Linked DNA regions of Drosophila melanogaster. The gene in region 1 interacts genetically with each later gene. Each region holds a gene or a part of one and is shown in the gene's direction. Other genes may lie near its edges.

What was found.
Region 2: of par-1 (region 1) and sd, changing one suppresses a phenotype caused by changing the other (phenotypic suppression), as found in Drosophila melanogaster (one study listed by BioGRID).
Region 3: changes in par-1 (region 1) and faf together harm fitness more than expected from each alone (negative genetic interaction), as found in Drosophila melanogaster (one study listed by BioGRID).
Region 4: of par-1 (region 1) and 14-3-3epsilon, changing one enhances a phenotype caused by changing the other (phenotypic enhancement), as found in Drosophila melanogaster (one study listed by BioGRID).

What each region holds. Positions count from the first base shown.
Region 1 is NT_033778.4:19,464,156-19,471,624, forward strand, and holds the start of par-1 (par-1), read left to right. Parts: upstream 1-3,310; 5' UTR 3,311-3,486; exon of another isoform or gene 3,487-3,658; intron 3,659-4,634; 5' UTR 4,635-4,815; coding exon 4,816-6,183; intron 6,184-6,441; coding exon 6,442-6,657; intron 6,658-6,716; coding exon 6,717-6,937; intron 6,938-7,053; coding exon 7,054-7,335; intron 7,336-7,396; coding exon 7,397-7,469.
Region 2 is NC_004354.4:15,811,841-15,819,261, forward strand, and holds the start of sd (scalloped), read left to right. Parts: upstream 1-3,458; 5' UTR 3,459-3,890; intron 3,891-6,310; exon of another isoform or gene 6,311-6,678; intron 6,679-7,421. UniProt on the Drosophila melanogaster protein: Transcription factor which plays a key role in the Hippo/SWH (Sav/Wts/Hpo) signaling pathway, a signaling pathway that plays a pivotal role in organ size control and tumor suppression by restricting proliferation and promoting apoptosis.
Region 3 is NT_033777.3:31,775,113-31,782,423, forward strand, and holds the start of faf (fat facets), read left to right. Parts: upstream 1-1,907; 5' UTR 1,908-2,070; intron 2,071-2,130; exon of another isoform or gene 2,131-2,452; intron 2,453-2,525; exon of another isoform or gene 2,526-2,639; intron 2,640-3,059; 5' UTR 3,060-3,353; coding exon 3,354-3,646; intron 3,647-4,247; coding exon 4,248-4,396; intron 4,397-4,450; coding exon 4,451-5,664; intron 5,665-5,790; coding exon 5,791-7,311. Other genes in the region: CG2126 (uncharacterized protein), read right to left, coding at 239-390, 447-581, 636-808, 872-1,084, 1,137-1,270, 1,333-1,440. UniProt on the Drosophila melanogaster protein: Ubiquitin C-terminal hydrolase involved in development and the imd/NF-kappa-B (IMD) signaling cascade. Required for eye and embryo development, and plays a role in compound eye assembly and oogenesis respectively.
Region 4 is NT_033777.3:18,239,667-18,250,115, forward strand, and holds 14-3-3epsilon (14-3-3epsilon), read left to right. Parts: upstream 1-3,020; 5' UTR 3,021-3,179; coding exon 3,180-3,243; intron 3,244-7,766; coding exon 7,767-8,236; intron 8,237-8,304; coding exon 8,305-8,485; intron 8,486-8,548; coding exon 8,549-8,622; 3' UTR 8,623-8,913; downstream 8,914-10,449. Other genes in the region: CG7156 (uncharacterized protein), read right to left, coding at 226-444, 504-2,234, 2,297-2,392. UniProt on the Drosophila melanogaster protein: Positively regulates Ras-mediated pathways. Acts downstream or parallel to Raf, but upstream of nuclear factors in Ras signaling. Three mutants have been isolated, that suppress the rough eye phenotype caused by mutated Ras1 (sev-Ras1 v12).

The sequences.
Region 1 (7,469 bases):
TATGATTGTTATTGTTTTACTCTGTGCATTGCGAATCCCAATTATTTGTGCTCAGTAAGATTGGCACGGTGAATGTGTTTGCAATTTAGTGACCGAGAGACTGTGACTTTTACTGCGATTGCTTCTCCAATGTTCACTCATTGTGCTCTAATAGAATTTAACAAGATGGTCTTTTCGAAATAAAAGCGACAAAGCTGCGCCTGAATTGTGATTGTTGTGCCACAAAATACACAAAACGAACAAAATTTATTCATACTTTTATGCACACGTATACGCGCGCATCTCTCAATGTTTACACACGAAATTCGCTGTGATAATTGCCAAAGCGAAGAACGAGGGAATATGTGTCTCAGTTTCGTTGCAACTGGGCCAATAATCCGTATACCGTGAACACCGAGTCGCGTCGAGAACGAAGAAATACCACCGCAACCCAACCACGAAACAACCAAGTGAACCACCCACCGCAAAACCACCAAAGCACCTACCATGGGCCAGACTTCCAGTCACCGGCAGATGCACCACAGTAGCAATAACAACAACAAGGAGGAACCACCACAACCGGCTTCACAGTTTGGAAATCGTCGAACCTCTACCCGCAAATCGACTTCGTCTTCGAAACATTACCCCACATTGGTGCAACCATTGCGTAAGGATGAGCTCTCTCTCCTGCGAGATTCACTTCTGCGCAATGGAAGCATTATGCGCAAGAACCCGGAACGTCGTCCGGTAACGATCAGTGAGCTGAAACCAGTTAATACCGGGCAGGGGACTTCGGGTAGTGTCCTGCCTATTACAGCAGAGGATGCTGCTGGTGGGAGCAGTAGTAGCATCACCCAACTAATGGCCTTCCAACTGCCCGTGGATCGAAGTGCCAAGACTGACGACCTGGCTGCCGAATCCTCGGCTTCAGCAGCAGCAGCTGTGGCGCCCAAGGAGGGGCGCAATGAGTTTTATATTGTGGGAGATGGCTATCATCGGACGGATCACTGCTACTATCGCAGTCCCAATGGCGATTTTCACAAACTGCCATCCGACTCCTTTCACAAGATGTCGGAGGGCTGTTTCGTCCGAATGGCCGATGGGGTCTTCCGTCGCCTGGAGGTACCCACCAAGGCTCAAATATCCCGAAGATCCAGCAGGGCAGAGGAAATAGGCGATGCCACAAGCCAGGGAAATGGAAGTGCCGCCACCAATGTTAAGAGCCAACTGATGAGATTTCTAAAGCGCTCCAAGAGCCACACGCCCGCCACTATTGCCAAGTTGCAGCGGGAAAAGGAGGAGGCCCGAGCGGAACGCAAGCAACGGCTATCGAACGCCCTGCGGCAGAAGAATCTAGCGGCCACAAATGCAGCCTCAGCTGCGGCGGCGAACTCATCCTACGCAAGCGGTGGTGGTGGTGGCACCGTAAGCAGTCGGAACAATAAGATTGTGGTGACAATGATCGAAAACGGCGGCTTGCCCATTGTGGCCACCAGTAAGGCGGAAAGGCCCAAGGCCAAGGAGTCGGCATCATCCAGTGACAAGGCTCGCAACTCGAGGGTATGTAATATTGGATATAAATTTATCGATATTATCGATGGTTGCTTACATTTTATCGAAATCCATCGACGGTAACGGTAACCCGTTAGATACTATTGCATAATTAATATAATAGAAGATATAGGAGGATTTATATTGGGAGCTTGCGATATTGGCAATTATGTGATTTAGAAACTTTCCTAGGCTCTTGAGCAAAACTACACTTGACCTTGCTACTTCATTTCAAAAGAGTGGGGCAATAAGGTTATATTTGTTGTGATTAAAGTTTGTCGGTCTCTCACACTTCCCCATTCATTTATGAACATTGCAAATTTATCGTTGTTGTGCTGCCACCTTCATTCAATCTAATCGTAATCGCTGTTTCGTTTTTGTCTGTATCTGTCACGGTTTTTGGTTTTTTTTCCACAATCGAATGAATAACGATTTCTATTATTTTGATTACGGATTTTGTTTAATTTCAGATTTTTGTTACCCCACATTGAATTCCTATAATCCATATGGAAACTAATATATATTTTCAGTCTAATCGCACAAGTGCTACATAAAAACCCAACGCAAATACGTTTAAAGATTAGGGGATTATAGGGATTACGGGCTCTCTGTTTCTATAACTATACGATTGCATTGTCCGGAGGACAAGTTCATAATAGTTGACCTCATTAGATTTTCCTGTTAGCTAGCATGCGAAAAATGAAATTCTATCTTTAATGTTTTTGTTTGGGACCTGAAAGGCTTGACTGAAATCTCGCTGTCTTGTCTTAATGTAGATTAAGCTGCAAGTTATTCAATTAGCTTAATTAATACGGACACTTTATACAGGCTCAGCTACTTGATACCTCGTATGAATAAATTAAAACCAAACTTGGCGAGTTACAAATTGACAGAATGATCGAATTTCATATGAGACACTTTTTGATATCTTAAAATGAGAGTTTCTCTATTTTCCAGATTATTTATTTTTAAGTATACCTAATGTGTTTCGTTTATGTCGTATCACTCGTGTCTCTATATATTTTATTCACAAATTTTATTGTGTCGGCTGACAAATGACTTACAATTATTTGACGACAAGATGTTCATAATAATGTTCTTTCGGGATTGCATTTTTAGTACCAAACTGTGTGTATTCCTCGGTCTTTGTATTCTGGTGATTGATATAGAGTAAAACAGGGGAACGGGGGAAGTTGATTAGTGAAATCTTCGCGACGACCGTAGAATTCCGACTCAGACTTCAGACATCATGTCCTTTTGGTTTTATTACTTAGAACTCTTACGTAATGCATCACCTAATCAACTGATTAACTTTAAAGGAAGCAGTTGAACTTATTGGGTAATTGATTGATTTTAATAGAAAACCAAAGTCCAACCGAATGTTACTTTAATCGCAGTAAATCAGGGAAGAAGCGCTTTGCGTAACTTGGTGGAACTTATATATTGCGCACATGCGCAGAACACTAAACCCTGCAGCAAACACGGCTAACAGTTTCTTTCCCAGCGTTACGCTCAGTGGTACTCGCACACTCATACACTCTCAAAACTTTCGAGCTCCAAACGGGGCTTCTCTTTGTGGGAGAACAAGTACACAGATGCAGATACGGATAGAGATACTGTATTAATGGTAGTAGTGCTCCACCAGTGGAGAGAGCTGCCCACTGATCGTGTGCTTGTGCTGGTGTGTTGGTGTATTAAGGCCGACGCCGCTGCCGCAGTCGACGTCGCTGCTCGAAGCGATTCCGTGCTTTTGGAATACTCCGCGCTCTCGCTCTCCGGCACTCCAGTTCCAGTTGCTGAGTGGCCAAGTGGCTCTTTGGCTGCTGAGCCCTGTTTAGCTTTGTTTTTCGGTGTCTTCTGTGTTTTGCTGTTTTTTGTTGGTGTAAATCGTATAGTTGTAGTCGTAGCCTGTCGACGACGTTTACGTCAGAGTTGCAGAGGAGGAGCTATAATTTAGTACGAATACCCAAACCCCCACGTAAAATGAGTGCGAAAAATTGCGAAAGCCGCGTGCCTCTGCGATAAGATAACCGTGTGTGGTTAAAGAACTCCTCCGGCCAACGAAACGAACCTTTTAATAATCGGGATTTGCGCGAAATGTGATTTTTTATAGTCCACAGACCAAGTGAAAAAAAAAGAAAGAAAATACTCACACACTATCAAACGACCAATGTATATAGCCTAACTGTGTTTTTCAGCAGTGAAAAAGTCGGCTCAATTGTCTAAAAGTAGTTCATTTGCTTCAATGTGTTGGTGCGACCGTGCATGTGTGTGTCTGTGTGTGTGCATTGGAGCTTTTCGCTTTGCTCACTGAAGCAGCGACGAATAAAAATGGAATATAACCAGCCAGCAACTAAACGACTCGTACGGACGAATTGTTCAGATACTTGTAGATCTCCACATCGTAACTATTTAGACAGTAATTAAAAGCAACAAAGGAAAATAGCGAAAAGGCAAATGAATCATAAAACTGAAAAGAGAGCGTGGGAGAGGAGGGTGGGGGTGGGGACAGGAAAAGCGTGACACACACACGAGAGAGAGCGAGGGCATCTCAGCTGAGCTTGTGCAACAGCAGTAGAAATAGGAGAGAGCAATTTAGAGAGAGACCGAAAACAAACACACGCACAAGAGCTCACCTCCACCACAGGTGTGTAGGTGCCACTTCGCTTTTCTCTCTCGCGCACTCTCTTTTGCTATGTATGTAATTGTGTGTTTAGGTATATTGCCCTCCCTTTCACATCCCCACATCGCCTGCCGTGTGTTTATTTCAGTGTCACCGGGGAGACAGATTAGCTCTTGTCCGCCTGTTGTCGTAAATATCACGCACACACGCTTCCCGTCCGCCCATCTGTACATACATATGTACATACGTAGAAATGGAAGTTGCTAGCTGTGTGTTTAATTCATTTTCGAGGTTTTAATGCGCAACAACTGCGACTTGTTGTGTGTTGGTTAGACGACAAAAAACAAACAAAAGTAACGTTGAGAATTTAGAAAGCCCAATGCAAACGAACGCACACACAAGCACTTACTCCTGTCGGTGTGAGCTGCATTGTACTTCCGAAGCCCCAAGACCAATTTAATAATTTTCCCCAAACTCACAGTGTAAGAACAATAAACACGCCAAGCGCAACTTGAAAAAGAAATAAGAAAAAAGAAAAAGTTGCGATCTCTCCGAGCAACAAGTACTTGTGCACCAACACACTCAAGGGAAGAGTGCCACGACAAAAAAATTTAAGAGAAAAAAAACAGAAAAACCGAAATCAGCAGCAAAACGGAGGAGCTATGGAGGCCACCACTACCACAACACCTGACTTGAATCGCGGCGATGCCACCAGGAAGAGTGTCCGGCTGTATGCCGCCCGCAAGGGGGCGGCACCTGCGCCGCCCAAGCTCAGTGTGGCGCCATCTAGTAACCAGAACAGCAACCACAGCAGCAACAACAACAATAGCAGCAGTAACTTGCCGGAAACGGAAAAGGAAATGGAACTGCGTCAAACACATCTTGCCAACAAGGATCTCGATGGAGCCACCGAAGACGACAGCATAGTGGAGCTTCGACGACGTGATGCCCAAGCCACTCCATTGCCCAGGATAGCCGTATCGGCTCTACCCACCCTACAGCCGCATCCCACGCCCAAAGAACGCCAAAAGCCGCCAATGCCACGCCTTCTGTCCACCGAAGACGATGCCGGTGTGTCCTTTGCCCTCGGCTCCATCGAGAAGCACATCCATAACGTGGAGGAGAGCTTTAAGCAACAGCAGCAAAACCAACAATCCCAATCATCGATGGACGTGATGAAACTGGAGATCAAGCGCAAGCAGAGCAAGCGCTACGGTGAAACGGAAAACCTTCTGCGACCGGGCATTAGTGACATGTCCTCCGAGAATGATTTTCAGTATTTGGGCGGCAGGCGGGCAGGAGAACTGGATGACAGCAATGAGCTGATGTTATCGGAATTCCAGCGCGGCAGCGATGGTCGTAACTCGATCGGAGCCTATTCCAAGAACTCGGCTGCTGCCGCAAACGGAGCAAATGCTGTGAAGGCTAAACTGGCACGTACTGCCTCCGATACGAAGAATAATGATACGGTGCTGGCCATGAGGGCCACTTTTAAGCAGAAGCAGCACTTGCAGGACGAGAAACAGCCAGCGGTATGGCGACCAGCTGGCACTGGACCCACTCCGGCGGCCAGGAGCTCCTCCTCCACCACGTCCACCTCCGGCTCGGCCAGTCGTGGCGGTAGCAGCAGCAGCGTGGTGGATGGAGTGGCTCCATCTAAGCTTACGGCCACTACCATTTCAGCGTCTAAGCGGCGTGAGGAGAATTTGCGACAATTTGAAGCTTTGTTGGCCCAAAAATCCTCACATCGTCATGGAGCATCTGGTGCCTCGGGAACAGGAAGTAATGCAGCCAGTTCGAAAAGACGTTCGGACCGGCCGATTGTGGCTCCTATTCCTCCGTACAATTCCAGTCGAGCAGAGCATGTGACCAGCTCGACCAGACACAGCGTTGATCCAAGATCCCATTCGGGACACGAGTCGAGGTCAGGAACAGCCTCAACTCACCCGCCTGTAGGACATCATCCCACTAGCCGCGTACCCAGCGTGGTGGCAAACCGCAGCAATGTGTACAGCAACAATGCTGCGCAGGTAAACGGGATAAAAACCAAAATCCATTTTTATCTACCATATTTCAATATAATTTTCATCATTTGGTTCAGAGAAAGCAATACCACTGTGGTTTAAAATCGCATTTAATATAACTATTAATCGTTAGCAATGCGGTTTTTAAAGGGTCATAAATCAGGATTGTCACAGAAATGTTGGGTTTTATATATAAATTATAACCGACACCTGATGCACACCAAAATACATAACTTTACTTACCCCTGACCATTGTTTTTACAGGGTTCGCCTAACATGCAAATGCGGAGTAGTGCTCCTATGCGATGGCGTGCTACTGAGGAGCATATTGGCAAATACAAACTCATAAAGACGATCGGCAAGGGCAATTTTGCCAAGGTGAAACTAGCGAAACACCTGCCCACTGGCAAGGAGGTCGCCATCAAGATAATTGACAAGACCCAACTCAATCCTGGGTCACTACAGAAACTCTTTAGAGAGGTTTGTACTTAGCTTAAAAGAATACCTTGACTTATTTACTAATCGTACTCTGCCCACAGGTTAGAATAATGAAGATGCTGGATCACCCCAACATAGTTAAATTGTTCCAAGTAATCGAAACGGAGAAGACGCTCTATCTGATCATGGAGTACGCATCTGGCGGAGAAGTCTTCGACTACCTGGTTCTCCACGGACGCATGAAGGAGAAGGAGGCGCGAGTTAAGTTTCGACAAATCGTCTCAGCCGTGCAATATTGTCATCAAAAAAGAATAATTCACAGGTAAGAGTAATCAATGCTAATTAAAATCAGATGATTTATATAAACAGGCTAGGACAAACCAAAGGCCCATTATTATAGTTGGCACCTTATTAACCGGAATTATTTATTTATAACAGGGACTTAAAAGCTGAAAACCTTTTGCTGGACAGCGAACTGAACATCAAAATCGCTGACTTTGGCTTTTCGAACGAGTTCACACCCGGCTCAAAGCTGGACACGTTCTGCGGTAGCCCGCCATATGCGGCACCGGAGCTGTTTCAGGGCAAAAAGTACGACGGACCGGAGGTCGATGTTTGGTCGCTGGGCGTCATCCTGTATACGTTAGTGAGCGGTTCCCTGCCCTTCGACGGCTCCACCTTGAGGGAGTTGCGTGAACGCGTGCTCAGAGGCAAATATAGGTAAGTGTTGCAAGATAAAATGAAAGTAAATGGAACTAAACCAAACCGCTTATCCCCACAGAATTCCCTTCTATATGTCGACTGACTGCGAAAACTTGCTCCGCAAATTCTTAGTACTGAATCCCGCAAAGCGT
Region 2 (7,421 bases), on another chromosome or scaffold:
CGCTCGCTCGGTCGCTCTCTCTCTCTGGCGCTCTCACGCTCTTGCTCTGCTTCTAGCCCCACAATTCTGGGTGTGTGTGCGTGTGTAGGATGCACTTGTGTAGGTGATATAGTGCTGTTTTCTGGGTTTTGATCGGGTTGTATTCTGCGCGCGCGCGTGTGTGTGTGTGTGTATGTGTTATGGCCAGTGTAGTCATCACTTGTGTTAGGAAACTGAAACTAAACAACCAGATCCACCAGTTATAGTTATGCTGGCAGTCCTCCACATTGTTGTTGTTGCTGCTGCTGCTGCTGCTCTTGCTGTATTTTGCAGAGAATGAGTTAAAGTTGAGTTAGCCAGGCCAAGCAAGCCAACAACAACGGCACGAATCCAGCCAAACAACAACAGCAACAACGGCAACAACATCAACCAGACCCGACCGACCAGCTATGGTGTGTTATCGACGCTGACGTCGGCGTCGTTCTTTGTATTGATTCGAATTTGGATTCAGTCGATGAGTTTCTCTCGCTTCTGCGCGTTGCGTTTTTCGCAGTGTTTCCGCGATTTTTCGTTGTCGTCATCGTTGTTTCGTTTGCCTCGTTGTTGTGTGTGGTGTATTGTGAGTGCGCCCCCCGTTGCCGTTGCCACCGCCGCAGACGCCTCGCCCCCCTTTTTTTTTTGCTTCGTACAGCCGTGAGCGGCTGTAAAAGTGTGCGTGGGTTTTTAAGATTATTAAAAGCGATTTTCATTTGCAATTTTGGATATTCTGCTGCCTCTTCTGGTTTTTTTCCTGCTTCTTTTTTTTTTTTGTTTTTTTTTTTTTTTAATTTTGTTCTGTTTTGTGTTTGTAATATCTGTATGGGAAAGATTTAAAGAAAATGTATCTTAAGATGTGGCCACTTTTTTGTTTCACCTTCTCGCTCGCTCGTTCGTTTGCGCTCTCTTTGGTCTTTTTGTTTTATCTATTTCTTATATCTATCTTATAAACAGTAGGCGTGTGTGGGGAGGGGAGGAGGGCATCGCAAGATATGGACGTGTGTAGCTTTATAAGCATAATATCCTATGCCTCTAGGTGGCACACCAAAAAAAAGAAAAATGAAAAAAGAAATCAAAAAAATCAAAATTTCATAAAAATACATATCTAAATACAGATGTACATGTGCTTGCACACATGTGCGTACGCTTTTGCACACCCATAAACGCGAATACACACATGTGCACACACATGCATGCAATTAGAATTGCACTTGTGCAGAAAAACAGACTATTTGCTTAGGCCCCAAGCAGATGAGAAAATACACATGTACGGGATACCATCGTCATCGTCATCGTCTTCTTCATCACCAGAAACAGAATCGGAATTAGAATCAGAATCGTCATCGCCTAGGAGCCCCATCTCAATTACGAGCTTCTCCATTAACTAACGAAGTGTAGGAAAAAGTCTAAACCAAACCTATCCCATCAATAGTTGGCTCTCCGGTGGCCATTCTTCTTTCTTCATCTTATTGCCGCAGCTGCGCCTTATTTCCACTGAAAGGCTTACTGACACATTCTCACTTTCACAAAGACCACGATATTGTACAAAGCTGCTCATACAAAATACACAGTTATATATATATGTACATATATCGGGAGAGCGATGAGAGCGGGAGAGCGAGAATAGAGTGAGATTGAGAAGATGCAGATGTGTGTGTGTGTGTTGCCTGTTTAACTTTAACGGAATCCGAAAAAGATCTTTCTCACTTCCTAAGAACTCCGAACCAATTCATGAATTATTGCAGATGTGAGTAAGTATTGCGAGTTTGCATGTGTGTGCACGCGTAGAATCGAAAAGTAAAGTAGTGCAAAAACAAGTATCGAATGAGCCACATAATCCAAAGCGAAAGGGTTTCATTTGTTCGGTTTTCGTTTGAAAGTCAGCACAAACCCCCCGCCCCCGTCAACGGACCCGTTCAAAGACGCTGCCATAACTTGTACACATGTATAATATAAATTAACAAACCGCTCCATCGTGTTATCAACGACATAGATAATAACACGCCCAGCGCAGAGCCTGAAAAACTGAAAAGCTGAAAAACAGTTACTGTTACAAGCTAATAATAATAACAAGAGTGAGTGCCTTGCCTTTGACCAGCCGGAGACGACAACAACGTTTGATGTTGTTGGTGGAGACGGTGACATCAGAGTCTAAATCTAGCGCGAACAGATTTCTTTTAATTCCGTAAACTAAGTGGACAACGCACCGTACTCGTACCGCACTCGTTCCGTACTCGTTCTCGTACTCGAAGTCGTATTCCTATTCCTCCGGGCGGGCATACTCGTGAATAGCGAAACCTAAAGGAAATCTACGAAAAAAAAGCTGGCTGCATGAAAAACATCACCAGCTCGAGCACTTGCAGCACTGGGCTGCTGCAATTGCAGAACAACCTGAGCTGCAGCGAGTTGGAAGTTGCCGAGAAGACAGAACAACAGGCAGGTCCGTTGCCCATCCGAATTACCCAGTCATACAAAGACACACCTCGTAAATCCAAACTCTATGCCATAAACCTACAACTCCACCCCCACCCCACACACCCACTCCACATCCAGCGCCCAAAAGTTTGTCGATCTCTGGTTTTTCTTTGGTGACTTTCCTCGTGGGTTCTCAATGCAAAGCACATGCACATGCATGGCGGGTTTTCATTTGAGAAAGTCACCCGAAAACGGAGACCTGAACTGCAGGGCACCTTCTCTCCATCGCTATAGAGTAAACTCTCCACCCATCTGCACATATCTCATACATATCGTACATGTAAACCATACATACATACATACATACATACATACATACCCAAATCTAAATCTAAGCGTTCTAAATCCGAAAAGAGAGGGCAAGCTGCCACCAACTTTCGATTGCCAAGATGAATAATTCAATGGATTAGTCAGGTTTAAGATAACACAGTGGTTCTTATAAGATGAATGGGGGGGGGGGGGGGGGTTAGCTCGAAAATATTTTGCCAACCGAGCGGATTTCGAAAAGAGCTTTTCTCGCATGTGTTGTTCATTTTGCACAGCATTGCATAATCTTATTTTTGGCCAGAAGCTTGTAAATGCAGTGTGGGAGACAATTCGCAGCACAAAAAAATCATATACATACGGATTTTGTCGATCTGGATTTTGGCGAAATATGTTGACATGTCCACGCGATCTGCTGTTTTACGATATATTTATTACCTCAGTTTAAGAGCCATCAACTTGTCTGCTGTTCACATATACATAGATACACATTATGAAAAGATATATGTACATATGGACATATACTTTTATTTTTATTACTTTACTGGCAATAGTGAGCAACGAAGACTAATCGAATAGCTGAATGTCCTATTGGAATCATTAAAAAAAAAAACCTGAAAAAGATTTGGTATACTTGTGGGCATTGTTTGCCACAACACTTGTTCGCAACTTGTCGGTTTTAAACAAAAACTTTCAAGCAAAACTACAATAATTCACTTACTATTTTTACTTCTGAATCGCATTCTACGAAATGAATTTTCTAAATGAGCTGTGTATATTTACAATAATATCGTAATACCTTTCTGCAAACAACGCAACTATTGATAAGTGATAAAAGAAAATGAAGTGAAAACAATGAAAAAGTCAACTTGGACAAGCCGAACACCATATACTCTACGAGTTACAACCAAAATGTATTACTCACGTTGGTATATGACCAGTTGCTATCACAGCTATGGGCTTCTGTAGCCTACGGAATGAGTATGTCATGAGTCATTGGCGAATATCTTTAAGAGCAACGAAAACATATCCGATTGTGATAAAGTTAATCGCAGTTACTTAAAAAAAAAAACAGCAAGCTCAGCCCATTTAGTTGACCGATCGTTCTTATGACTGCTGCGTTACTTACTCAATAAGTAAGTACTTACTCAATTTCCAGCATATCAATGAATGATAAATTTGAAGAACTTTTAGCAAATTATGAGTTCTTTACACAATTATGGTTTTCTGCCTTAAATTTCCTATGTTAAGTTAAACGTACGTAATTTTCCAACAATATTTGAACTATATAAACTTCAAAAGGCTTTCGGAAAATTTAAAGTTTAGTCACCTGTTTTAGCTTAAAATATCCTATATCCGATCAAAATCGTAAATATATCTAATGAACCATTCTAGTTTTCACTTCCTTCGCACATTTGTTGTCTATTTTCTAGCTGCCTGTTCTTAAACACTTGCTCTTAGAAAAGTATTTCGTAATTTCATTATTCCTTTATGTTCATTATTAACATTACCTCACATAATTTCATTAAAAGCTAAGAGGACAAAAGATTTATTATTAATTATTTTGTCGTTGCACCTCACAGAAATTCCTTTTTAACCTTTGCCAGGTTGCAAATTCGTTTGTGCTGACTTCTAAAGATTTTCGGCAGCAGAAAATGGGAGTGCGTTGCTTTAGGGGTTGAAATAATGAAAGGGCAGCGCACCGAACTCTATATGCCCTATGAATAATCAATGAATTAATACGTGTACAGTGTTTCGCTTAAGACAGTTTAAGTTCTATAGTGCAATTGTGAATAATTAAAATTTTTTACAGATCGTTATGCTGATTGAAAATATATTTGTACACTTTATAGGGTTAGAATCGCCACCTTAATTTCCTATAAAACTCTATTGACTTGGGAATAATTTGAAGACCTAAAAAATGATCTCTACATCATGTGTATTGATCTGTATTTTATGTAACCAAAAGATTATCCTTTTGATAGCACCTTCACACGAATATAGGATATATATGCTATACTAAACATATTGTCAATAATTTGATAATGCATTGCACTGTCCTTTTATATTATTTGTCACTAAAAAGATACGAACAATAATTTTTACCTGTTACGGTTTTCTGCTGAAAGTCAAAGTGCGTTTGGCTGTGTAGGGATTGCGGATCCCAACTTTGATCCTGAGTGCGCTAAGTACGTCATCATCGAGCTCCTTACCATCCCATCCAGGCACATTCTTCGTTTATATATGTATGTATGTATATGTATGTATAAGCGGATATATATATATGTATGTACATTATGTATGTGTATGCGACGGGGCATACATAAAGAAAATGAAAAAGCAGAATGCATACCATAAATTCCAATTGCCGCACAACAAAATTGCGGCTTCTAAGGGTAGGAATGGAAAAGGCAGGAAAAAGAACACACATTCCCTTATTAAAACCGAACAGAACTGAACAGAACGAGCAGCTGCGTGTTGAGTTTTCGAGGCGGAAATTGAGTTCAAGCGTAGGAAAGTCTGTTTCTAGTTTTTCTAATTGGAAATTATCCCGAACTGAACCGCTGCTGTTTGAATTCAGAAATTCTGAAATGCCATGTGATAATATTAATGCACGGTTCAGCTATTTTGTCCGTTTCATTACACTCCTTTTCGTCCTTTTGTGTGTGAGTGTGTGTGTGTGTGTGTGTGTGTTTGTGTGCGTGGAGTGCTTACGAGATTATGAAAAATGGCACATTCACCCCCTAAAACGATCCCAACCCCTGCACTGCGCCATGCATTTCCAAGCTGTGCAATATGCATTCTACTTTTTTGATAGCCAAACATACAGTCGTTTCCGTTTCGGGAAATTCTGGTATTGTGCCTAGGATAGAACTGGGATCGAACTGTCCCGACTTGTCCTGGATACTGGCGAACTGCTTCCATACGACGCCATTCTATTATTAACTACACCCATCTATACCATACTTTATTAAACTGAACTAAGTCCAGTTTCTTCTTAATATAGCAGATTAACTATGCAGTACTATACCATTATTTACTCTACTAACTACCATTGCAAGCTACATAGCTGACTACAAACTACTATTGCCTATTATACCATATATTCCATACCTTACACTATAACATTCTATTCCTTATCATATCATATATGGATACCATAGCATACCATGCCTCTGATCCTTGATAGTGTTGACTCGCCCCCTGTCTGAAGTTCCGTAGCACACCTTTACCTATGCTAGACTATAGACTATACCATACCATACCATGCCATACCATACTATACCATACCATACCATATCATACCCCTGCTGACCCAGACTCTCACTTGACGCCCCACACTGCAGGCTGGCTATTTGAAGGCTTCTACTTCCATTCTATTTTATTCTATCAATAGTACGCTGCGAGGGTATGTGCCACACTGCATTCTATCCGCTGTCTCACGAATACGAATGCCTAGAGCAACCATCCCTATAGGTTTATATGGGCGAAACACCAGGGGCAGAAAAGGAACCGGCCAAAACAAAGAATAGAAATATGTGGAAACTATACGGCACATTTCAGTTTGACGTGCGCGTTTCTCTTAACCAGACGCATTTTAGTTTTTGTTTCTTTGCCGCTGCCGTCCGGGATTGTTTTTTTTTTTTTTCACGCTGTGTGGAAGAAGCAAGGCGAATACAAAACAAAAATAAATTACAAAATAATTGAAATTATAATGATTCGATAGATATGTATATAGACTCGTACGTGTGCACACTCAGCAGTGATATGTTTGACTGAAACGATTTTCTTCGTATTCGAAAAAAAAAGAGCCCATAAGAGTTTTTTGAATCTTATTTTGGAATATCACCAGCGATATCGGCTTTACAGTGGCGCCCTTCTCAAATCATTTAGATTCCCTCGAGGAATTCAAGGAGTTATCGGGTGAGTGGATTGGCATCTGATGCTCAATTCAGTGGGATATATGCAGATGCTTTGATTCTTTTGAAAATATTCAAATATACCTAAATCTTATTGGTTTCTTTCTTGTCATTCGAGTTTCAATAATGCTAAAGCGTTGAACATTTAATTAAAATCGACTAAGAGCAAGAGTATCTCGACTCTTTGAATACTCATTACCTTTTTCAAAAAGTTTTGCACACTCGCAAGCGTAATGTTTATCAGCACTACAATACTATTTGTCAATTGAAAAGTACTATTTTCGAATTGAAAAACCATTGCAGTCTGGCTTGCCTAGTAATATAATAGAGTCTATCCTCTGTACCTGTTACATGGTGTTCCACAGACACAGCATACCCTCGAATACCCTACGCGAATACACCATCCCTTAGCTGCGCCAAATATTTTTCATCGAGTCCACCGTCCACCGGGGATGTTCGAATCCAATCCGCACTGCTTAATGCCGTTCAACCCTTTCCAAATATTCACTAAACGAAAACGTAAACAATGGTGTGTTGAAACTATTTAAGTTTCTATTCATTTGCAAAGAATTTTAATTTGCTCGTGGGCGCGGAGGCAATCGCCAAATGCGTTTCCTTTCCAATGGGCAGAGAAGTTGGGAAATCTTACTTTTTATGTGTGGCGAAAGCTTCAATCTAATTTATGAACAAATCCACTCGTTTTTTTTTAATGCGCATAGTACATACATTTAAAGCAAAGATTATCCA
Region 3 (7,311 bases), on another chromosome or scaffold:
ATTAAAACGAAAAGAACGAAGAATGAATTAAGCTTGTGCGACGAAAACACTAAATAGACCTGCTCCTAAATTTGTTTCTCAACGGCTTTTAGAGCCGCAATTATACTCGGAACAGGTCTGAGTCTGAGCTACATACTAAATGTAAATAAATTAATTGACGCGTACACTACACATAGATAACAACAGTCGATCGACGAGTTCCCCGGGCGTGAAAAATTTGCATCTGGACGTCGCCGCATCAAATTCTCGACTCCAGCTCCCGGAACTCGGCAGGATCCGTGAAACGTACGGTCAAAATATAGAACAGTGTGGGGAAGGGCACCAAGCACATAAAGGCATAGTGGTAATTCAGGGAGGTGAGGCCGTAGGCCAACAACATCCAGTGCACAGCTGGGAAAGTAAGCTGCTGGTATACTTTATGTATGGTGAATGCGCACTTTGCTTACCTATGATGACCACGTTTTTTAACTCCCACACCGACGAGTGAACCAATGCCTTTAGGGTTTGATCCAGTTTGAGGGAATAGTGGATGGCATTGGCTACCATGGATATGGCCACGCTAAGGTACGGAAAGGAGTAATCTGAAAAAGAAAAGATCTCAAGACCAAAATATTAGCAAGCACTTAAGTACTCACAGATCAACCCACATCCTAACGCATGGATAAAGGTGAGCAGGGGCAGGAAGTAAAGAGCCGAGTAAATCGGCGCCTTGCTTCTGCCCCCCACATCCATAATTTTGCTGACTAGCGGGCGTATGAGAAACATGTTCACCAGGCACAGAAAGTAGAAAACCAGCACGATGGTTTGCCTGGAAATTGAACATTAAAGTGACTATTGTGAACACCTGGAGCCTTGGGTGGCTGGGTCTTACAATGGGTAAACTGCCTCCTGGGTGCAGTAGACTCGTGCCTCATAATTGGGGCTGGGGTTGTAAAACAATGTGTACCAGTCAGTAAGTTTTCGAACATCACAGGCGTAGAGGCGCAGCTCCCACATGGGCTCCATTAGCAAGGTGGCGAGGATGGCAGATATGGCAACCTCAACGAAAGCGCTGGCCGTCAAGATCAGCTGCTTCCGCGAAAACCTATGTGAATTCACTAAGTAAGTTCTTCTTCCAGTTTGATTAGTTCACTCACTTGCGATCCTTGGCGTCCATGTCAATGAAAAAGCAGTGCATCATAAGTGGCAGCATGGTCATGAATCCCAGGTATAGCCAGGAGTACGTGCTTAACTCGTCGCGGCATGGAGAGCATGCGTAACTTTGGTTCACCTGAACAATATAAAAGTAAATTATTTTCCAGGCGCCGTTCCGAAGGATGCTAGAACATTAACCCGAGATCCTCTGGGACAGACCCCGCAGCTGCTCCAGCTGTTGTTTCCTAGCGGTGATCGCCCACAGTAGGCTCCTGGGCAGCGTTCCAACGCGTCGTACATTCTCATGAAATCAAAACAATTACTTCGTATTGTATATTACATTAAACAAAATAAAAACAATACTCCTATCGATATCGGACTTATCGTTATCAGTAGGACCACTGAATAAACGAATAGGTTGTTCGTGCACTTAAATTAATACTAATTTATAAAATGATAATACATCAGAAGCACATGCGAAATGTATTAAAAATAAGGAAATTATTTTCTACAGATTATATAATGGGCCCTAAGACTGCTTTCTAATTTGATCAAATTAATAATACTATATGTTTTTATATATTTATTTACAATTAAACATGACTAGTAGAGTGTACATTCTTACAGTGCATTTCAATGATTTGATTTTATTTGAAATCCCAATTGCCAGAAATTTAAATTTAGGGTCCCTTATATGTACCACATAAACCAGTTCGATAGGCGCGCTTTTGGCATGGCCTGATAACTCTGGTAAAAAGCACCGCGCGAACCGGTTCAATTCATAACTAGTTCGCCCGAACTGCACAACCCTAGCAAAAGAAATAGCTTAAATATAATTTATTTAACGCGAATTGGACAACGAGCGGGTAGAAAAAACCCTGTGGCCGCAACCGCGACGCTCGCAGGATACGCAGCTCTTCGCCGTCGGGCAGGCAGGTAAAAAGCAATGGCAATTGGAGTTGACCGCAGAACAACAGCAACGGCAGACGCCATTTTGTCTATTGGCCGGCTGATTTGTAAGCTCAATATTCGCGAAATAGTTACCGCGACTAGCTTCGAGTGGCGCAGCCAAGTAAGGGCTCCCCGCTGTCCAGAGCAAAGGCGAAAGGAAGAGCAATCGCCCATTTTGAGGCCTGCGAAAAGTTGGGACTCGGTCGTCAGTTCGCTCGATTCCATTTGCGAAAAATAAATGTACGTGCGCGTGAGGAAGTGTGTGTGCGCGTGAAAAAACAGTGAAAAATAATAAAAAGCCGCACTGGCCGCCGTCCTTGGGTGACTTCCGTTAATCTCTTACAACTTTTAAAGCTATAGAAAGAATGTGAGCAATTTACCGCCCTCGACACACCCAATGAACCGCTAATTTTGGCATCTTTCTATAACTTTATGCGTAGTTATTTTCACCACCCTTCGCCTACACCCTTTCCCCGCCCCTTTTTCCACCAGTGGCTCCCACCCACCGACCGACATTCCGCTTAAGGATGATGCCGGGCGGAGAGAGATAGAGAGTGAGTGCAAAATCCGTAAACTTGGACGTGATGTAATTTTCGGCAGGAAAATGTTCTTTGTTTGCCCAAAAAAATAACAATAAATAAATAAGAATGAAGAGCGAGGCGTAAAACAAAAACAATTTTAAATTAAACTCAAACGCACACACAAAAAGAGAGGGTTCTGTGGGTGAGCGTGCGTGCGTGTGAGTGGGTGAGAGCGTAATTTGTGTGCTTTTGGAGCATTATTTGGCGCTTGCTGCCCCGTCTATTAAATAATATTGATTTTTCATATTCCAACCCAGCGCTCTCTTACACACACGCAGGACCACTCACACACCCAAAACTGAGCTTCGTACACATGTGGGCCTTTTCGGTCTCTCTCTTAGCGCTGTATTTATCCGCCTCTTATTGCCTCTTTCGCTTCGTTGCACTTTATAGATTTTTGCAAACTGGCCGCTGACCAGGCATTGGGAAAAAGGACAATAAGAGGGAGCCCAGAGCAAGAAGTCCAACTAACCGACCAACTGTGCCTCAAGAAACAGCAAATCAGCGGGGAACTCCCAAACTGGACAAGCAGAAGCCCGGATACCTCACATTTGCCATAAGACACCAGTCAAAAAACGACGCGCACTGCAGAACGCATTAGGATTAGCCCGGCACTAGAGCTCGTGCATTAACATCCGCTTCCGGTGCTCCGCAGAACGAGTTGGCTGGAGAGGATACCCCGCCACCATGACGTTCGACACTCGTAGGCACACCACCGGACAGCCGGGAAGCACAGCGCCCAGCTCAAGCAGCAGCACCACCAGCACAACAACCACCACAACGAGTCCGGCGCAGAGTGCCGGATCAGGATCGGGCATAGGAACAGGCACAGGAACAGTCGCCAACTCGAGTCTGCCAGGAGGAGGATCAGGTAGCTTGGACGGCAACCAGGATCAACAGCCGGCCACAGACAGTCAGAGCTCTGATGACGTGGCCGCTTCCTTGTCAGCGAACAGCGTGGACAGCACCATCACAATAGTGTAAGTGGTCGTGCTGCCGTATTTGCATGACTCCGCCCAATTAGTCGGGTTTTGTGCGTAGCACCAGTATGACCGCCACCCCTAAAGATCCCCAACATTCGTGTGTTTACTTTTGCGTAGTAATTCTTCCACATGCATTCTTTGTTTGTCTATGGTTGGGCCAGCACAATGTTCGTAATTCATTTAACTATGTTTCAGATGATTTTGGCCAGGCCACTGGTTAGTGACCATAAATGTGGCAATAAATGTTATCTTTCTTTTTCTTCGATAGGTGCACTTGGCTGCTGTCCAGTTTTAGCAATGAACTTACCAAGCTTTACTAATATTACCTTACCCGGCTATTACTATCTCATTTTGAATGCCCGTCCACGGCCTATCTTATCGCTTGTCCATCAAAATAAGCTAACACTGAAAATTACAAAAAAAAAAAAAAAAAAAATGTATGCGTTTTGGCATTTATTTTAATAGAAATAACCATTTAATAAACAGAAATGTTTATGGAAGGGTGTGCTTTGATTGACCCCCTAAGAACTTTTTTTTTTATGTGTATTATTTAATTTGTTATTTTTAATATTGAATAATTGTCCATTTAATTAAATAGGCCTCCAGAGAAGCTTATATCCTCGTTTCCCACGACGAAACTGAGATCACTAACGCAAAAGATATCCAATCCGCGTTGGGTGGTGCCGGTGCTGCCTGAACAGGAATTGGAGGTTCTCTTAAATGCAGCCATCGAACTGACCCAGGCTGGTAAGTGTGTCCAAACGATTTATTTGATACCCTCTAAAGTCAATTTATTTGCAGGTGTGGATCACGACTGCGAGCCATGTGTGGAGTTTTATCGCAATGGACTGAGCACTTCCTTTGCCAAGATCCTAACCGACGAGGCGGTGAATTCGTGGAAGAATAACATCCACCACTGTATCCTTGTGTCTTGCGGCAAGCTTCTACATCTAATCGCCATCCACATGCAGCGAGACAATCCCTATCTGCTTGACTTGCTGGCTATTGTTTTTGATCCGGAGAACAAGTTCAACACATTTAACGCAGGCCGTCAACCGGAGTGCTTCGCAGCGCCGGACTACATCTGGGGTCAGTTGGACAGCAACAAAATGTACGCCCGTCCGCCGCCGGAGCCCAAGAATGCGCGTGGCTGGCTTGTGGATCTTATTAACCGCTTCGGACAGTTGGGAGGCTTTGACAATCTACTGGAACGGTTTAACATCGGACTGGAACTGCTGAAGCGCAACCAAAACAAGTGCACTGGCAAGAATATTAGTGTCGAGGGTAGGGTTGAAAATGGGGCTCAGGATAATCGCCTCACCCTTGCCCTCATACACAGCCTCTTGCGTCCATTCGGTCAATGTTATGAGCTTCTAATGCCTGCCACTATAGCCAAGTACTTTATGCCCACCTGGAACGTTGTGTTAGACCTTCTGGACAGCTTCACAGACGAGGAGTTAAAGCGAGAAGTGAAACCTGAGGGACGCAATGACTACATCAATGGGATTGTAAAGTCAGCCCGCTTACTGGCCAGCCGCTTGACTGGCCAGGAGGAGCTAATCCGAGATCTTGAGATGTTTCGCCTAAAGATGATCCTGCGTCTGCTGCAGGTGTCCAGCTTCAACGGCAAGATGAATGCCCTTAATGAGATCAACAAGGTGCTCTCCTCGGTCGCATATTTCTCCCATCGATCCCAACCTTTGCCCCACTGTATGCCCGAAGACGAAATGGACTGGCTGACGGCGGATCGCATGGCGCAATGGATAAAGTCGTCAGATGTATTGGGTGTCGTGCTCAAGGACTCGCTACACCAACCGCAGTATGTGGAAAAATTGGAAAAGATCATCCGCTTTCTTATTAAAGAGCAGGCACTAACGTTGGATGATTTGGATGCAGTTTGGAGAGCGCAGGCCGGCAAACACGAGGCAATCGTGAAGAACGTTCACGATCTACTGGCCAAACTTGCATGGGACTTTACTCCCGAGCAACTGGATCACCTCTTCGAGGCGTTCCAGGTGAGTTTTCTGCTTTAAAAGTGTATTAAGTAAGTTTAAGTTTTAAATTATGATTATTACATTTTCCGCGATGGTTTGTATATAAAATCTCATGAACAATGAAAACAATATTAATTTTTATTTCAGGCCAGCATGACCACTGCCAATAAGCGGCAACGGGAAAGACTTCTTGAGCTAATACGCCGCTTGGCTGAGGATGACAAAAATGGTGTGATGGCCCAAAAGGTGCTTAAGCTGTTTTGGACTCTGGCCCACAGTCAGGAGGTGCCGCCAGAGGTGCTTGATCAGGCGCTGGGCGCACACGTTAAAATCTTGGACTACAGCTGCTCGCAGGAGCGGGATGCCCAAAAGACCATTTGGTTGGATAAGTGCGTTGACGAACTTAAGTCAGGCGATGGATGGGTTCTGCCCGCCTTGCGTCTAATCCGGGATATTTGTTGCCTATATGATACCACGACAAATCATGCCCAGCGCACTCAAACGAGTACGAATCGTCAGCAGGTGATTGAACGACTACAGAATGATTATTCCTTGGTCATTCTGGTCACCAATAGTTTGACTGCATACATGGAAAAGGTACGCCAAATGGTAACGGACTCACCAGGCCTGGATGCAACCAGAATCCTAATTGACGGAAGATTTCCGCATCACGTGCAAATAGCGGAGCGACTGGAGTTCCTTAAGTTCCTGCTGAAAGATGGACAGCTATGGCTGTGCGCAGATCAGGCAAAGCAGATTTGGCATTGCTTGGCGGTCAATGCAGTTTTTCCGGCAGATCGTGAGGAGTGTTTTAGATGGTTTGGCAAGTTGATGGGTGAGGAGCCTGACTTGGATCCTGGCATAAACAAAGACTTCTTCGAGAACAACATCCTGCAACTTGATCCGCATCTACTAACCGAAAGCGGAATCAAGTGCTTTGAGCGCTTCTTTAAGGCTGTCAATTCCAAAGAGGACAAGCTGAAGGCGATACATAGAGGTTACATGCTGGACAACGAGGATCTAATAGGAAAGGACTACTTGTGGCGGGTCATTACAACTGGAGGCGAGGAAATCGCCAGCAAGGCCATTGATCTACTTAAGGAAGTGTCGACGGCATTGGGCCCACGTCTGCAGGAGAATATCGCAGAGTTTCATGAAATGTTCATTGGTGAGTGCTGCTCCCGCCTGCGCACACACTATGGAAATATCGTTATATTGGGCAAGACGCAGCTGCAAGAGGAATTAGATGCCCCCGATCAGTCGGATAATACCAACGACGAGTCTAAAGATTCAAAAATGCGTTTCATCGAGGCGGAGAAGATGTGCCGAATTTTAAAGGTGCTGCAAGAATACGTAAAGGAGTGTGATCGTTCTTTCAGCGGCGATCGTGTTCACCTGCCACTTAGCCGGGTTACACGGGGCAAAAACACCATCTTATATATCCGCTTCCAGAACCCTGGCAGATCTATCGACGACATGGAGATCGTTACACACAGCAACGAGACGATGGCCGCTTTTAAGAGAAATCTACTTAAGCGAATCAAGGGAACTTCGACGGCCAACATAAAGGTTGATCTCTTCTATGCTAATGACGAGATGATCGGGGTTTCCGATGAAATAAACCCACTTTATCAGTACACTATCCGGGATAAGATGAATCTTACAGCA
Region 4 (10,449 bases), on another chromosome or scaffold:
TTAATACACTTGTTTTCGAAGACAAGTATTAAAAGTAATGCATAGAAAATAATATAGCAGATTCACAACATAATTAATCGCTATGGAGCGACTTCAGATTCTTTGAAAGTAATCAAAATCAATGCCAATCAGAACTGAGCAAGGAATCACAAATGGGATTTCAGGTACAGTACGAAATAAGAAAATACTTTACGGACTCAATAGCAAAGCAAATAGTGCCTATTTTCACATGGACTCAGTTCCCTGCTCCAAAACCGCCTGCCAATCGATGCCTTTGAAGAATGGATGAGCCTGCAATTGGTCGTAGTCCAAACGTAGCTCCGGAGAAAGCTGCAGCAGTTGCTCCAGCAGATCCTTGGCATGATCGGAAATCTCCAACGACTCACTAGGATACTGAACACAACCATAGAGGTCCAGTTGCCCGGGATGCGTGACTTTGTAGGGCTGGAAAGAAAGCAGATTGCTATTATCCAAACATTTTCAATCGAGAACTCAAAACTTACAACTCCCAGCAGAAGCTGATAGAGCACCACGCCGTAGCTCCACCAGTCCGAGCGAAAAGTGAGCGGTCTTTCTGGTGCCACAAAGTGATTAGCCACTGCCTCCAAGTTCAGTGCCTTGTGCACATAGTTGTCGTCCGAGGTTAGACCCTCGTTCTGATAGAAATACGTCAGGAGCAGCTGTCCCTTGGCGCCCAGTAAAATGTTGCCCATGTGCAGATCGCGCAGAATAACGCCCTTGCCGTGCAGACTGTGTATGGCGATGGCCAGTTCGCAAGCCCACTGACGCAGGCACTGCTCCGGAATGGGTTTACTTCGGATGCGATTTTGATCCACCTTTTTATTTCTTTTGGGTGTAACGACTCCCGCTTGCAAATTGCTCAGCGTGTTTGTTACGGACTTTAAAAGCTGCTGGGAGCTGCGAACCAAATCGCTGACATCGCTGTCCGAAGTCAGAGGTGGCTCCTCTGCCTCCTTCTCCTCCGGCTCCTGGTCCGAGGGAAAAAGCTCTCCATAATTGACACTCTTACTACTCGTGGGCGTGTAGCTCTGCAGGTAATCGTACAACATGCCGCCCTCCGCCTGCCGCAGTAGCAGAAAAATCTTCTGCTCCGACTGAAAGTAGGCCAGCAGTTGGACCATGTAAGGCACCTGCTGGGGCAGAAAGATGCTCTGGGTCAGCGAGTGACTGGCCGGCTTCTCGACGCCCTTCATAATGGCAGCCGGCTGCTGGGATTTCGTCACACACTGCACCTGCATCACACGGTCCTGGAGAATCTGCAGCACCTTGTAGCGTGCCAACTGATTCCAGGGGCACTCCAAATGGCTCACGCTACCGCCGTCTGTCGTGTCCAGCGAGAGCTGGAACTGCAGCTTCTTCGTCGGACAATCGTTGGCCAGGAAATTGGCGTGAATCTCCTCAGCCCGCGCCAAGTATTTGGCTATCTTCGCCTTGGCTATAAATCTACGCTCCTCACTGCTATCCTGCTTGGCCCCATTGAGCAGCAGGTCCACACCATGCTTGTACCTCTCGTGGGCTTCGGCATACTCCAGGTTAACCTCCGCTTGGACGGCATGACTGAACTCTAGAGCCGCCTCATATATGTAGTCGCTGTCGTCGCTTTCTATGGAAGCCATGGGCGTCAGAAGGCGGAGATAATCCCTCTTGGTCAGCGCTACGTCTGTCTTGGGCTCCTGTTTCGTTTCTAATTCGATTTCAGTTTCTTTGGCCTGGGATTCGTTGTTCGTTTGCTCCTTATCACAGCGCGGATCTAGAGGCGTGATGCCCCCCGCGTCGTGTGGGTCATAGGGCAAGTCTAGTTTATCGCAAATGTCGGCTATGGCACCAGCGCAAGTTCCTGTTTCCGAACCGCCACTTCCGCAGCCATTGTCTTCCGTCTGCAGCCGCAGGGATCGCTCCACATATAGCTTCTTAAGTGGCGATCCGTTTGGCGAGGGTGTCTCCTGGAAGAACTGTGTGAAGGTTGAGCACTTGTACAGCGCCGGATGCTGCGCTGCAAAGTCTAATAATTGCAGGATGTACTCCTTACGCCGTTGGATGACTGCCGCATCGAATCTCTTGAAATATGTGCTATCTGTGGGCACTGGCAACTTGCCGGGTAGTTGGAGACTCTTGTGGCGCCGGCTAAGCTCGCGATGCAGCCGCTTGACATCGTGGAACCGTTTCCACACCACCAGGCAGGTCAGAGCTTGAGGTACCGACCTTGGGAAGACCTAAAAGTGGGTGAGGTTTACTATTTGGAACAGTTCATCTGCCCCCAAAAAAAACGACTTACAATCGAGGTGATTTTGTATATTGTGTACCCGCCCTTGTGCTCCTGGGTGTCCGTCACTGTGAAGCTGTGGATCCAGCCGCCCAGGTTGAGAGTCATTCTGGTTTCTGCTGCAAGACCTGGTGGTTTAGTTTCTAAACATATTTCCCATATCAAATGTCGTTGTTCCCCAACTTTTTTGCAACATTAAAGCTAGTGTGACCAAAGGACGCCAAAATAACCACTTCCGGACTTCGAAATTAAATAAGAGCATTTAGTAGCTTATTTTTTTAACTTAGAAGGATTAAATTAAACCATAAAAATATTAACTGTTTTTTAAACACTTTTATTTAAAATAAAAAACGGTCACATTTTAAAATTTAAAATTTATACTCTAATCGAAAGTATCATAAGTATCGATAGTCTGCAGTGCATGTGGGTTATGTCATGACTAATGACAAATTGAATTGCACAGAAAAGGTGGAAGTCCCTGCTAACGACATTGCTTCATGTGTTCATTTAATACAACATATTTATAGCTATAGCTTTTTTAAATGTGTCAATTTACTATAACATTTTAAAACTTCCGAATAAAAGCTTCACACAAACGGATTTTCACAAGTAATATCCAGATAGAAATACCATTTTAAAAAGAAATTTTTCCGATTTTACCACCATCGCTTGCGCATGCGCACGGAACGCGTGATGCGTTTTTAAGTCCGTCATTAGGCCATCGCCCATCAATTTTAGTGTTTCAACCGCCGCCCGATACGGTCACACCGCTCGAGAAGTAGAGAAAAAAGAAGGCGACGAACCACAGGCAGCAAGCAAAATCGACGCCGCACGTACCGGGAGCATTTAAATAATTTTTTCTGTGGATTAATTTTACCGAAAAGGCTTCAACACAATGACTGAGCGCGAGAACAATGTGTACAAGGCAAAGCTGGCCGAACAGGCCGAGCGCTACGACGGTGAGTAGTGATTCCGAAAAAAAATGGTAGCAAAAATGGTAGAAAACGGTAGACAAATGCTAGTAGAGTAGGGAAAAAATTTTCTCGACTGAGGAGCGCCAACGTTTTTGGGGAGGGGTCGCCTGGGATTTTTTTTTGTCTTCCCGATCCATTGCGTCGTCGCGTGGTCGTTGAAAAAGTCTAGAGCTCCGCTTTTCGTCCGAATGTGCCAATTAAAAGGTTTTCTTCCAGAGAAAACGATGGAAATTTTCAATTTTCATCGCTGTAGCTGCATTCGAAGCGACGCAGCGTCGCGATGAGTAGTATTTCTTGCGAAAAGAACGGGAGATGGAGGAAACAGTAAGAAGAGGAAGAAGCCGAAGAAGAAGCAGAGCGTCGGAAGAACGAAAAGAGATGAATAGAGTGTAAAACCTGATTTTTACCGGCAAAAATTCGCGTGGTTTTGCACAAAAAGAGAAAGAAACGGAATTGCGTATTATAATTTACAGCAAATAGTTTGCTCCGCTCTTTCTTTTTTGGAACTATATAGTATTAGTTTAGAAGGGGAAAATTTTGTGTATTTGGCGTTGCGAGCAAGGGCTGCGCGGCAGCTAGCATTTTATTTTCTTCCTTGGTTGCTAAGGGCTGTTTGCAGTTGATTCCAGTTCGCGTTCTTTTTTTTTCTTTCTTAGTAGTTGTCAAGGCGTAACTTTCTAGAAACGACACATTTTTTGGGGATTCTAGTTTCTTAAATACACTTATTCCACACCCAAAATCAATGATTGTGGGGCAGGGGTAGGTGCAGTCCTCTCTTTCAGACCCCCTCCCCCTTTTTTTCCACGAAATGTGCTTTTCATGCGCAGCAGCGGCGTCGTCACCATGCCGTTGCTGCGAAAAATCGATGAATGAATCGATTGTGTCGCCGGCTGTCTCCCTCTCTCACTTTCTGCCTATTGCTTAATTCTTTATTTATGCAAATTAGTTGCGGCTAGTTGCAAGCAGTTATGCGGCCACTTGGCAACCCTATCTGATAATGCGAAAAAAGGAAATATAAAATTTTTCTGTGCTTCTTCTGTTACTCTCGCATTACTCATGCTTATGCGCATGTATGCATGCGTGTGTGTGTGTGTTTGTACGGAGGTGTGCGTGTGCCGATGAGTGTCCGCCGGGCGGTTTTTATTGTTGCTTCTTCTGTAGCCTTTGCTTATATTTAATTAAAAATACTCCAATTAATTAAAAAGCCAGCTCAAAATGCAAAGAAAGTCGCAGTGGGAGGGGGACGGCAAATTCGGCATTTGCAAAAAGCGCGCGCTTAACCAATTGCCATAAACGCTGCGTGCGCCAAAACGAGATGGCTAGTGTGTCGAAGTGTCGGCGACGCTGCACAGTGGCTGTAAAAAGTTAACAAACATTTGGCGATTCCTCTGTCTGCCGTTCCTTCCTGCTGCTGTACTTGGGCAGCGACTATAGCAACAATAATTGCAAACGGTACTCTGCACCTAATTGCCTGCAAAACTGACAACATTAACGGGCGGTGGCGGCGGCAAAGAAGTCAATCAACTATTAGCACACACAAACAGGGCATACATGCATACATACACCACTGGTGGGGATATTTGTGTCTGTATCACATGTTTGTCTTCTTATTTTCGCCCATCGGTGTGCGTTGGTGTGCAGCACTTGGCGTTGGCCTTGTCACACTCGGACATTTTGCGGTGGAGCTCATGCTGGAGCACCAATACCATTGCGCGCGAAGAGAGAGAAAGAGCGCGGCGGAGAGCGAAGCGGAGCGGCAAAGCCGCCAGCCGGCAATGTCTGCGCCCCCAATCTGAACTTGCCTCGCCCTCTCCGCCCCTGATCTCATCTCCTCTTCAAACCCCTGCTCCCCTTTTCTGCACACATTAACGTCAGCCTTTAAGTGTGCTTTCTCAGGTGCTGCCCCCTGCGCCCACCATCCCCCGCTCCATGCTCTTTCCATCTTGCGCTCTCTGCGTTCTATCTACATTTTTTTCGAGGTCGCGCGCTGCTTTTTCCGTTGATGTTCGTTCTCGTCAATGTCGTCAATATGCGCAAAAGGCAGACAAAAAAAAAATGAGTGGAAAAAGTAGCATACATACGGTTGATTGATGGGCGGTGGGTGGCGGTGGTGTTAGGTGTGTTTTGTTTGTTGCTCGCTTTTTGCTCAAATTGCACCATTTTAGGGGCTGTTGTTGCTGCTTCCTTTGTCTAATTACACATTCTCTGCCCGCTGTAACGGTATGTGCGCATGTTTTTTCAGCTGCTGCGCCCTTATGCGACTCACACACACACACATACACACACACACAAAACCACGCGCACTCATACCCACACGAGCGCAAGACACACCCACAGGCGTCTCATAAGGGAGGGGTGGATCTCTGGGGGCGTGTTGGTAGGAGGGGGTGGAAAATCCTGCCCATTCCTTTTGCTCCCTATTTCGTCCCAATATTTCATTCCAGCTCGCGTGACTTCTTTTTACTTTTGGGTGGTGGTGGATTGCCTTTGCAGGGTTGTCGCTAGTTTATCAAATTCCAATACTTATTTCTTGGAAAAACAACACAATTGAGATGACCACGCTCATCTTTGCAATCAACTTGTTTATGAAAAAGATTAATCATTTTTTATAATAAAAAAGATGAATACTTTTCAAATGTAGTTCAACTACTCACGAATCTACTTAGAATCTATTCCATACTATTTTCGCCAAATTTGCTAGACTTTCGTGAACTTTGCACTTTCTACTGAAAGTTCATATGATTCGAGAAGTTTCCATACATTTCTTTTTACCACTTCGTGGTTCCGCAAATGATTTATCATGCCCGCGGGACTTGGCTCTTTATTTTTGGGACGCGTTTATTGATTTTCGCCTTGCTATATGTACATGATTTAGTGACTGGTCTGACGCGCATGTCTCATAATTGGTTGTGGATTACTTACTACTAAGCAACATGTGCTGTATACTTTTAAAGTTGCAAGGATCCCAGCCACCCTTCACCACCCAACTGCGCTCCCCCTCCCCTTCCCCCTCCCTACCCACTCTCAAGTTCATTTTTTATGCGTAACTCAGCATAGCTTGCAAGCGTTGTAAAATGCGTGTGCACATCATCATCCACATTGGTTTCAAACAGCCCGCCAATGCGAACAACAATGTTTGAAGTTCAATCACAGCCACAAATATTCGTGAATCATGCAACTTTATTGGCAATTTTTCACAAATACGTGCTACAACAAAAATCGCACTAATAAGCAGACAGTCGGCAAATGTCCCGATGTCTTTGTGTGTGAGTGCTAGTGTGTGTGTATGTATGGGGGTGTTGGTGTGCGAAATACGTCAGCAGCTGACGGGCAGCGGGTGCGAGCGAGAGAGGGCAGACAGTGCAAGTCAGCAAACGCGCTACAATTACAATATTTTGAATAGTAGTGTAGTCTAGCTCTGTATTGTTATCAGCCACCAGATATGCCCGAGATAGTTAGCCTGCAACTGGCTTTACCCAGACAGGCAGCACTGCAATGATAATTTAGATGATTTGGTTCGGAAATATCTTACATTTCCTTTGGTCAGATATCAAAAACTAATCTTGCATAATTCCAAATACTAATCATATGCCCGAAAAGCATTTAAATGAACTTCGAAATATATTTAGACTTCAATTGACTGACTCGAAAAAGGAAATGAAATGGCCAAATGATATCAGCTCTTAACCTACTCACTTTAATTTGATAAACGAGCTCCTTGTTTGCTTCCGTGTTGAGTTCCGAACATGTGATTCATGACGCAGTTTTAGATGGTGATGCAGACGCAGATAGAGATGCCCCCGATGGGGACGATAGGATTGGGTGCAACAATGTGGCGGAAGCCCTTATCACCGGCTGATTGGATGGCCCCGTATTGGTATTGGTATTGGTATTGGTATGACAGAACCAGCTAAATCAGGCGTAGACGCAACGCCACCTTATGCATAAATATATCTGCATAACTTATATATCATCGCGGATTGGGCGTGTCGGCGATAAGAAATGGAAAATAGGTAGTCTAGGCTGTCGCGAGGGGACAAGGACAAGCGGGAGGAAAGTCCAGATAACAAGCCTTCCATACCTTGGATAAATTTATCTACGCAAAATGTATATAATGTATGTATCTTGTTGGCTTTCCAATTGAAATGTTTGGTTTTTATTTTTAATCTTAACATGAAATATATGAAAGCAATTCAAAAATTATATGAACAATCAAACAAACATTTGTATTCTACGAAATTGTTGATAAAATAGCGTCCGATAGCATTGTTTAAACTACATCATAAACATTACTTCTTACTCACTCAAATGAAGTATTTGTTTAATGATGTATATTTTCCTTAGGCATTGCAGAATGAATATACATATATGCGAACTAATGATTAAACTAATCGTTAGTTAATGGGCAATCCCTTAAATTTGGTTTGAGATGTTACACTTGATTATTGTAAACATTTACTCTTATATACTAAAGACCACACCTTTCATTTGTTATGTCCTCTTTACAGAAATGGTGGAGGCCATGAAGAAGGTCGCCTCCATGGACGTAGAGCTGACCGTCGAGGAGCGAAATCTGCTGTCGGTGGCGTACAAGAATGTGATTGGAGCACGCCGTGCCTCGTGGCGCATCATCACCTCGATCGAACAGAAGGAGGAGAACAAGGGGGCCGAGGAGAAATTGGAGATGATCAAAACCTACCGCGGACAGGTGGAGAAGGAGCTGCGCGACATCTGCTCGGATATACTGAACGTGCTCGAGAAGCATCTCATTCCATGCGCCACATCCGGCGAAAGCAAAGTATTCTACTATAAGATGAAGGGCGACTACCATCGCTACCTGGCCGAATTCGCCACCGGCTCCGACCGCAAGGATGCGGCAGAGAACTCGCTGATTGCCTACAAGGCGGCCAGCGATATTGCCATGAACGATCTGCCACCAACACACCCCATCCGTTTGGGCTTGGCATTGAACTTCTCGGTGAGTGATTGTGAAGAGACACGATGTCGTCATATGTTTTCTATATATATATTTTAAAATCCTTGCAGGTGTTCTACTATGAGATTCTCAACTCGCCGGACCGCGCTTGCCGCTTGGCGAAAGCCGCTTTCGATGATGCCATTGCCGAGTTGGATACACTGAGCGAAGAGAGCTACAAAGACTCGACACTCATCATGCAGCTGCTGCGCGACAACCTCACATTATGGACGTCCGATATGCAGGCAGAAGGTAAGTTGTAATATCACATCCACTTGTTCGGCTCCGTTATTAAGTTCTAAATATTATACTAAGAAGTAGACCCCAACGCAGGTGATGGCGAGCCCAAAGAGCAAATCCAGGATGTTGAGGATCAGGACGTGTCGTAATTTAAGTAAACCCCCGCCCTTCCATTTAAAACACATTATATACCTTCTAAAGTAAATATAATACCATATAATATATATGCATACAACAACAACAACAAAATCAACAACAACACGACAACAACTTCAAGAACAACAACATGGAACCAATGCGGCAACAACAACCATAGCAGTCGATCACCACAACAGCAGCACCCGTATGTGTATCAACATATTTGCAACATGATAACAGCAAGCAAAGCAGCAGGAACACAAATTGTCATCCACAATAAACAGCATGGAAAACAACAGCACAAAAACAGAAAAAAAAAACAACTATCCAAGCAAAATGTTTGAAAATTGGGCGGCCTGGTGGGCGTGGCGCGGCTGTTGCTGCGGCCCAGAATCGAATCGCAACATAAAAAATTCGCGGTACTATTAAGTTGGCGTCGCTTCGCAATTTGGCTCCTTAACGTTAGAAAACTGCAACATCAAGTCTACTACATTTGAATTTTTTGCATTCGAGAAACCAAGCATTTTATTATATTTGAATAAATATTATATTTAATTATGAGAAGCAAAAACGAAACAAATAAAATTCATTTAAACCACAAAACACATTAAAGCACAAGCAGAAAAAGAACGAAAGTCGAAACACTAAACGAAAATTGAGAAACAATCACACGAGAGTAAATCACAAAGCAAATTTCATCGAGTTGGCATGCATTAATTTTTAAAACAAACTTTAAATACGACAGCAACACGTAAAATACAACTTTAATTTTAAGCCAATAATAAACGTGAGAACGAGGTAATAAAAATGAAAAACGATTTAATAAGCGCAAACGTAAAAGTAAAACATAAAGTCGAAAATGTAAGGAAAAAATACAGCAATTAATTTAAATTTAATACATGAATAAAACGTAAATGGAGTAAACGAAACGAAATGAGCAAACAGAATGAAAGACGCAAAAAGCTAAAAACTATATTAAATGAGAAAAAGGAATGTTAGTTAAGCGAAATTCAAAACGAATTCTTAAGCTTAAATTTGTATGTATGTAAGTGTACTGTTCAATAACACCGACACACCCTCACAGACACACACACACACGCGCAGACTAACACACACCCACCACCCACACAGACACCCATATTACGCATACGAGCCGTTTGTTTTCTCTTAGCGTTTCCTTGCTCTCTCACACTCGCACTCATATTCACACTCACACACCCATGCATGGTCAAATCACATGAAACGAAACCGAACAATCGAACGGGAATTTGGTGGATTTCTGTTTTTCGCCTTTCGTTTTGAGTTCTCCATCGCAATCGCAAACAATTTTCTTCATCATCTCTTACCTTGCGCAACAAAGAAACATATTAATAATATAGAAAAGTATTTGTAGTTGCTAAATACAAGAAACAAAAAGAATACAAAACAAAACAACGGTACATATATATACGTATATATATATATATATATTGTATACATATATACTTGTATATTTTCTATGCCTACCACTTATGTAATTTGTAGAGATTTCGAACTTTTCGCCCCACCACCCAACTAACCATCTCTCCAGAGATTCCGATTCCAAAACTCCCCGACAGACAGTCCAAAACCACATTGATTTTTAGCCCCCGAAGTCAAGTAAACCCAAAGATTCTCCACAAGAACAACACCATCATCGGCAGAGTTATCTGTAGCGTGTTTGCGTGATTAGCGAAGGAAAATAGAATGATGAGCTGTGCAGAAGCTACGGGAGAATTTTCGCACGAGCTTATTCGCAGCTCTTTCGCATGGTTTTTGTTTTTCGCTTTTGGTTGTTTTTTTTTTTTTTTAATAAATTT